Kluyveromyces lactis: one gene and its partner. The protein of the gene in region 1 interacts with the protein of each later gene in a biochemical or structural test. Links are inferred from orthologs where the notes say so. Each region holds a gene or a part of one and is shown on either strand. Other genes may lie near its edges.

Region 1 (4,621 bases):
TGTAAACTATCAAATGGCAAAGCTGCCACAGAAGCTGCCAACAAGAACCACCCAAACTTCATAACTAGCCAATCTGATATTTGCTACGGAGTTGAAGCAAAGTATACACCGGTAGATGCTTGTACTGTCCCTTTTAATACAGTATTTATCCACTTGTTTCTGAAGGGAAAAAGGGTTTTTTTGACATCTAAGTAGAACTAACGTTGTTTAGAAGTTTAGTGTACATATTATGGAAAATGATATTCATTGATATACAATAATGGAGAAAGGGAGAAACCAAAGATCAAAAGATGACATCTTCCTCTTGTTCGGTAATCAGAGCTTCTACTTGTGGGCCAGATTGTTCTTCTTGTTCTTGTGTGTCGGCAGCTTCTACGCCAGTTTTGGTCGCTTCTTGAGAATCTGGTTTACCTTCAGACTCAGCATTTGCTTCATCTAATTTCTTCTGCTTCATTTCAGCATCCAACTGAGCAGTTTGAATCTGTTTCTTTTCTTGCACTTTCTTCAATCTATAAAACTCTTCTCTATCCAATTCGTCTAGCTCGGAGTTGATATAAGCAATGGTGTTTTCCGTTCTTGGAATGATCACATGTTCAATGGCATTCACTCTACGGTTGGTAACTTTGATAACTTCGTCCAAGATAATGAAAGCCGTTTGTAACGAAGCCAATTCAACTAGTGTTTCAACAGCCCTTGAGTAAATTTCCTTAGCACGCTGAACTTGTTGACCACCACGACCTAGACCTGTCATTTTGAAGTCGTTGATGTTGGAGTCGATGAATGATTCAAATTGAGGCAAGTACACACCACTCACGTTTTCTTGCGTGGCCCTAACTTTGAATCTTGCATTGGCAACATTCTCTTGAACTTGGTACCCTATATTTTCACCTGTAGCATATGTGACCTCCGCCAAAGAGAACGCAGCTGTTTGCATCACTCTGCCCATCTTCTGCTTTGAATCATCTATTCTTTTAGTGATATCACGGAATCTCTTCGTTAATGCTTCAGACTTTCTCTTCAACAAAGAATAACCCTGATTAGCACCCTTTAACTTAGTCTTCATAAGACCCAAGGTCATACGAGTGGGGAAAACCTGTTCCCTATTACTAGACATTTTTCGATAAAATTCAAGATGCTAGGAGTGAAGTCGTTCCTTCCTTGCTGTAATATGTTATCAGTACGCTTAGTACCAAACTCACCTGATTGGTACAGTAGAAAAACAGTTCTTTTCAAAGAAAAAGCAAACGATTACAAGTAAATGTGTTCCAGGTTGGATACTTGTCAGTGCCAGCCTAATTGCAACGTTCTGCCCCAGCTGATATATGCCCCCCTTTTCTACCTTTCTTTCGTCAAATGATTGAATGTCTTATATTTCAGATATTTTGAAAATTGGTTAATTTCGAAATTTAGATATTATTTCATTTACGGTGATATGTCAAAACGTTTAATGAGATGAGTTACAATTAAAGCTCCATCTAAGGTAAAGTTAGTGCACTGTTTTTCCACCAGGTACTGCGAGAGACATATGTTTCGATGGAAATAGATAAATTTGTCAAGGAGGAAGATATTCCGTTTGAGTATGGTGTTGTTAGAGAAAGAGACAATGCTGTATCATGGTCGAGATATTTGGCAACTAAAAGATCAGCAGGCGATGAGTTGAATTTAGATTGGCTATACGAACGTTGTTTGAAGGAGATCAAGGACGACTGGCATCTATGGAAAGAGTTCTTGAAATGGAGGATAGAATTATTGAACGATTGTGATATTTTCAGGCACAAAGATGAATACAATAAGATATCGTTACTATTCGAACAGTGCTTAACATCATGTGGCAAAGTTGGGGATGCATGGATTATGTATATGGAATGGGTAATACAGTTTAAGGATTTGAAGAGGATTAGAGAACTGCTTGGAAAAGCGCTACGATCAATGTCGTGGGAGTACCATGAAGCAATATGGCGTGTTGTCATCGATTTCATTATCAATGAATTGTTAATAGACAACAAGAGGTATGAACTTTCTTTAGAGGATTCCATCTACTATTTTGTTCACGGAGAGCATTCGACGAATTTTGATACAGACCTCTGGTCTTCCTCAATCCTACAGAGATATTCACTTATTTGTGACGACATAGAGCCTTTATTGATCTACATTTTTAAGACTCATGATTGGAGCACGATCGTTCGAGTATTTGAAAAACATCTATCACCTAATTTAAAGCCATCTCAGACAAGTTTATTTGAACTTTACGTTAGTTACATCACTTCAATGATTCTTGTGGATAATTCAGCAGGGGTTGCTGCGGTAGTGGACCAATGTATCGAATTATTCCCTTTCAAGAAGGGTGAACTTAAGACATATTTGATATTTAACCTGATACGTCAAGGAAAAATAACGGAAGCTGAGCTGTACTTAGAGAAAGTTATAAGCGAAACTAAAGACATTATCGAATTTTCTGTATTATATGATTTTTGGATTCGTATGGAGGAGCTATTGACCCAAGAATTAATTCAAAAGATGAAAGACGATAATTCAGAAAAGCAACGGCTGTTCGCAAATATAAGACTACATGCCGACACTCTAACCTCATTAATAAAAAACCACACTATTAGATTAAACGACTTAGAATTGAGGCGAGAACCCAACAACATCAAATTGTGGCTAGAACGAGTGAAGCTTTTTGATACCATCTCTGATAAAGCTAAAGTTTATGCAGATGCTGTTCTTACCGTGGACTATAGACTTCAGACTACTCCAGGGCTATTAGGAGAATTATGGTGTCAATATTGCAGACTTTTTGAAGAGGATATTGAAAAATCCGAGGTCTTGCTGGACAAAGCCACTAACGTCCCTTTCAAATTTTTAGTAGATCTTGAAAATGTTTGGTTATATTGGTGTGAATACAGACTAAAAAGAAGCATTGACGATGCCATAAAAGTTTTGTCCGTTGTATTAGAAATACCAGATAATCATGAATTACTCCTACAAAAATTTGAGAAAGGAGAATCGCCAGCACAAGCAGCAATTTTCTCATCTAAACGCTTATGGGCAATGTACCTTGACTTATTGGAGGTCAAAGGAAACTATGGTACAGCTGTAAATGCGTATGAAACAGCAATACTCATCAAGGCAGCAACACCAGCCATGTTTATTAATTATGCGTTATTAAATGAATCTTCTGGCCATCAAGCAGAAGCTTTGGCTGTTTTCGAAAGGAGTGTTGAGATTTTTCCTCCAAGCGTATCGAAGTCTATTTGGGATATATATCTGGATGTGGCACTCAAAGCTGATATCACTAAAGAGCAAAAAAGAGATATTTTTGAATCTGCTATTAAGCTTGCAGCTTCAGGAGTGGCATGTGTTTCGTTCTTTGAAAAGTACAGCGACTTTGAGTTAAACCTTGGTTTCCACGAGAGAAGTGTCGAGATTTTGCACAAAGGAGCCAAGAATATTTCGGATCTTGAAAGTAAATGTACTTTATGGGAAGAATGCATCAATAGAAGTGAAAAACAATTGGACGTCAATCACACCAGAAAACTATATGAAGAATGTATAGAAACATTGCCCAATTCTAAAGCAATCAAGTTTCTACTTCCATTTGCTATCTTAGAAGAATCGCGTAATGAGGTTGCTCGTTGTAGAGCATTGTTAGACTACGGGAGCAAATTACTGAAGCCCGCACAGAATGAAGAACTTTGGGATTTCTGGAGGAATTTCGAAACTATGCACGGTACAAAAGACTCGTTCAAGAACATGCTAAAAGCACGTAGGTTCCTAGAGGACACAATGAAAGTAAATACAGAGGAAGTATCCAGACATGCAGATAGCATCGAATTTAGGGCGTCAACTGCGAAAATTAGTGGAAGCGGACCACCAAGCGCAGAAGATAAAGGATACTCAAATACGGCTGAAATTGATTTAGGTCTATAAAATGGATATATATTGATTAAAGTTGATAATGGCATATCGATCAATCTCTTATGTTTTGTTTTGGAAGATGTCGTATTGTCTTTCTTTGATGACGTGTAACATACAAAAACACTAGTATCTTACTGTTTTTCGACCCAATCAGTTGAACTCATGTGGGATAATCTACTTAGGGCTCTTGCAAATGCAAACCGTTCTTCATCTAATGCGAAAATCTGTGCTTTTTTGGCAATATCCTTAGAAAATCCGTGTTTACTGACCAATTCATCCTCTACTTCAGGTTCATCTTCATGTTTCATTTGATCTGCTGGTTTAAGCTCATAGTCGTTGACAATATCTTCTGGTTCCACGAATAGTGAGGTGAAGTCATCTGCACCAGTGGTAGCTAATTTACCACCGTTATCGTAAACTGCATCCAAGAATGTAATGAACCGTCTAACTTCGTCACGTACGTATATGGTTAAGTATGGCAAATCTGTGACAACAAAGGACTTGAATGAGTTAGCCAAAGTTAAATAGTCACCAGCAGCCAAAGGTTCTCCACATAATTGTTTAAAGGTGAATTGTGCTACTCTCCCAGGTGTACATTTAGGAACGAGTAATTGTCTACCCCAGATAGTCAATGGATAGTTATATACAATGTCATGGCCATTTTCTGACTTACTGGGACGATGCAGTTGGGCAAAATAACTAT
Region 2 (2,866 bases), on another chromosome or scaffold:
TGGGGGTTCTTAACGATCCTCAAAATGATGACGTTATCTCTTTCCAGTCAGCACTGAACAATGGTCCAGCATCATCACCGATGGTAATTCCTTCTAAAAGCATGCATTCTGTGCCTGATACGGCATTTTCGCCATCCTTCCACAGCATCTGGAATGACAGCACTGTTGCTTCACCACATTCTTCCAACCATGTGAGAACTGATAGTCAGCAGAAATCGTGGGTGTTTAACCAGCCTGTCGAAATACCTAGCGAACCTGCAACAGAGAGACCAAAGGAAAGTTCAACTCGTCGAATGTCTAAACTGTTTGCCAGAGGGACACAGTTGTTTAAATTACCAAGTCATGACTCACAGGCTAGTTAAACCTTCAACCAGCCAGTTGACAATATTATTATAACTTACTAATCTTTGGTTGGTATCATCATTTTCATTCATAAGAATAGAATAAAACGTCATGCTGTGGATATGAGAGGCAATCATTAAAAGCGTATATAGTACAACTATGATAAATATCATTCCCCTTATATACTAAAGCCTAACTTCTCGTAGCTCCGATTACTACAACCCGAGTTGCTTCTTTAACTCATTCTTTCTTCTTTGCACCAACCAAAGTTCGACATCTTTTAAGGATGGAACGTCAAAATTTGGTATCACAAAAGAAGGGTCCCGATCAGAAGAATGAATAGTTGATCGAAGTGAGCCAGTACGTTTCTTCTCATATTCAAGAAGTTCATCACTGTTATTTCCTACAAAATAGTCGTCTTTCAATGTACTTTCCCATCGTTTGATTTTCCTCTGCAACTCCGCTTTCTTTTCCTTCCCACTTCTTTCCTTCTCTCTTTGTTCCTTGGATTCCCTCAATAATTTTTGAACCTCTGGTAATTCTAAAGCTCTACCGAAATACCTTTTCCCATCTATGAGGGTTCCGCCTGTGGTATTTAACTGCTTCCTCTTCTTCAAATCTGGACCCTTTAACTTATTTCTGATATGGAAATCCCATCTGCCCTTCTCCTGGAATAGTTTATTGAGTTCATCGTTTATTTCCGTGATTTGAGACTCGTTTAACGATGGATCATGAATCTGTGTCACACGTTGACCTATCTCCTTCACAAGCTCGTTTCTCCATCGAAGTGCTTCATCCAACTTCGTTACCTTATTGATCCTGGTAGGTCTTTTCAACCGCGAAAAATCCTGATAACCACCGGTTTCGGCAGCCTGTAGCTCCTGGTATCGCACGAGAACAGAGTTCGCTTTATTCACGTTACGACTCATCGTTACTTCGCCCTTTCTTTACCTCGATATCCCGTATAATCATCGATTTAACTCTCTGGTTTTCTTCTTTGGGATTGGTTCTTGTAGTTTTATTTCATGTCCTTTCATCTTTTCTTAATATCTGTCAACATAAAAAAAACATAATAACATGAAATCTATACAGATAGAAGACGACAAGATAGTTACAGATTAAACAGTGCTATAAATTCCGTGGGCAACGCGATCTGATCTACTAGAAAGCTTTCGTTGGTCACTCCAAATATTCAGGGTTTATAGCTGTGTTCATTTGCTGGTTTCTACGGCGAGAATAATCTGAATCATAACTAAAATCAAAAAAAAAGATGCACATCAATTCTGTGGTTAGGAACTATAGGTTCCTCATCGGGGCCTTAACTGCTTTGATGTTGCTTCTTTTGCTAAGGTCGTCAGCATCTCCACAAGTTGGTTCATTGGCGAACTCCAATAAAGTCGACACACCAGATGGGCTAAAAGTTCCTGGTGCTTCTTCACCAATCAGTCAAAATATCAATGAGGATTCACAAAAGCAAACAGCCAAAGACCACACATCCCAGAATTTGGAATCTGGTTCCAATTCCCTTTCCAAATCTCAGTGTACTGAGGGTCATAAGTACGTGGTTATGATTGATGCCGGTTCTACTGGCAGTCGTGTACATGTGTATGAATTTGACGTTTGTACCCAACCACCAACTTTGATTAATGAAACTTTCGAGATGTTGAAGCCTGGTCTATCTAGTTTCGATATCGATGCTGTGGGAGCCGCTAAGTCCTTGGATCCTTTATTGAAAATTGCTATGGATGCGGTTCCAAAGGATAAGAGAAATTGTACGCCTGTTGCAGTTAAGGCAACCGCAGGTTTGAGAATGTTGGGTGATGAAAAATCTTCAAAGATCTTGGCACAAGTTCGTAAACATTTGGAACAGGATTATCCATTCCCAGTGGTCGATGGAGATGGTGTTTCTATTATGGATGGTGAGGAAGAAGGTGTCTACGCTTGGGTCACTGCAAACTATCTGTTGGGTAATATTGGCGCTGGTTCTAAATTACCAACGGCAGCTGTTTTCGATCTTGGTGGTGGTTCTACTCAAATTGTGTTCGAGCCAAGTTTCCCTCCTAATGAAAAGATGGTTGATGGTGAACATAAATACGAGCTAAGTTTCGGTGGTCATGATTATACTCTATATCAATTTTCTCATTTGGGATATGGTTTGATGCAAGGTAGAAATAAGATTAACACTGAATTGGTCAACGTTGCGATCAGCTCGGGAACCATTACTAAGGGTCAAACTGCAAGAACTTATGAATTGAGCTCCCCATGTTTACCTCCGGGAACCACTGCTGAAGGCGAGAAAGTTAAGATTAGTGATGACGAAATTTATACTGTCAACTTCAAGGGTCCAAAGGTTCCGGCTGGTCCACAGTGTAGATACCTTGCCGATAAGATCTTAAACAAAGACGCTAAATGTAACACACCTCCATGCTCATTCAACGGTATTCATCAACCATCGTTGGTCCACACCTTCAAAGAAACAAGTGATCTATATGTGTTCTCGTATTTCTATGATAGAACACAGCCT

The links.
Region 2: the proteins of SYF1 (region 1) and ISY1 form a complex in vitro, tested with the Saccharomyces cerevisiae proteins (2 studies listed by BioGRID). The link is inferred for Kluyveromyces lactis from reciprocal best matches to the Saccharomyces cerevisiae genes SYF1 and ISY1.

Annotation. Positions count from the first base shown.
Region 1 is NC_006037.1:177,767-182,387, reverse strand, and holds SYF1 (mRNA splicing protein SYF1), read left to right. Parts: upstream 1-1,533; coding exon 1,534-3,930; downstream 3,931-4,621. Other genes in the region: KLLA0_A02013g (putative aminopeptidase), read right to left, coding at 1-62; VMA8 (H(+)-transporting V1 sector ATPase subunit D), read right to left, coding at 284-1,114; AFG1 (Afg1p), read right to left, coding at 4,050-4,621. UniProt on the Saccharomyces cerevisiae protein: Involved in pre-mRNA splicing and cell cycle control.
Region 2 is NC_006042.1:1,549,966-1,552,831, forward strand, and holds ISY1 (Isy1p), read right to left. Parts: upstream 1,272-2,866; coding exon 558-1,271; downstream 1-557. Other genes in the region: GTA1 (Gta1p), read left to right, coding at 1-362; GDA1 (guanosine diphosphatase), read left to right, coding at 1,613-2,866. UniProt on the Saccharomyces cerevisiae protein: Involved in pre-mRNA splicing and cell cycle control.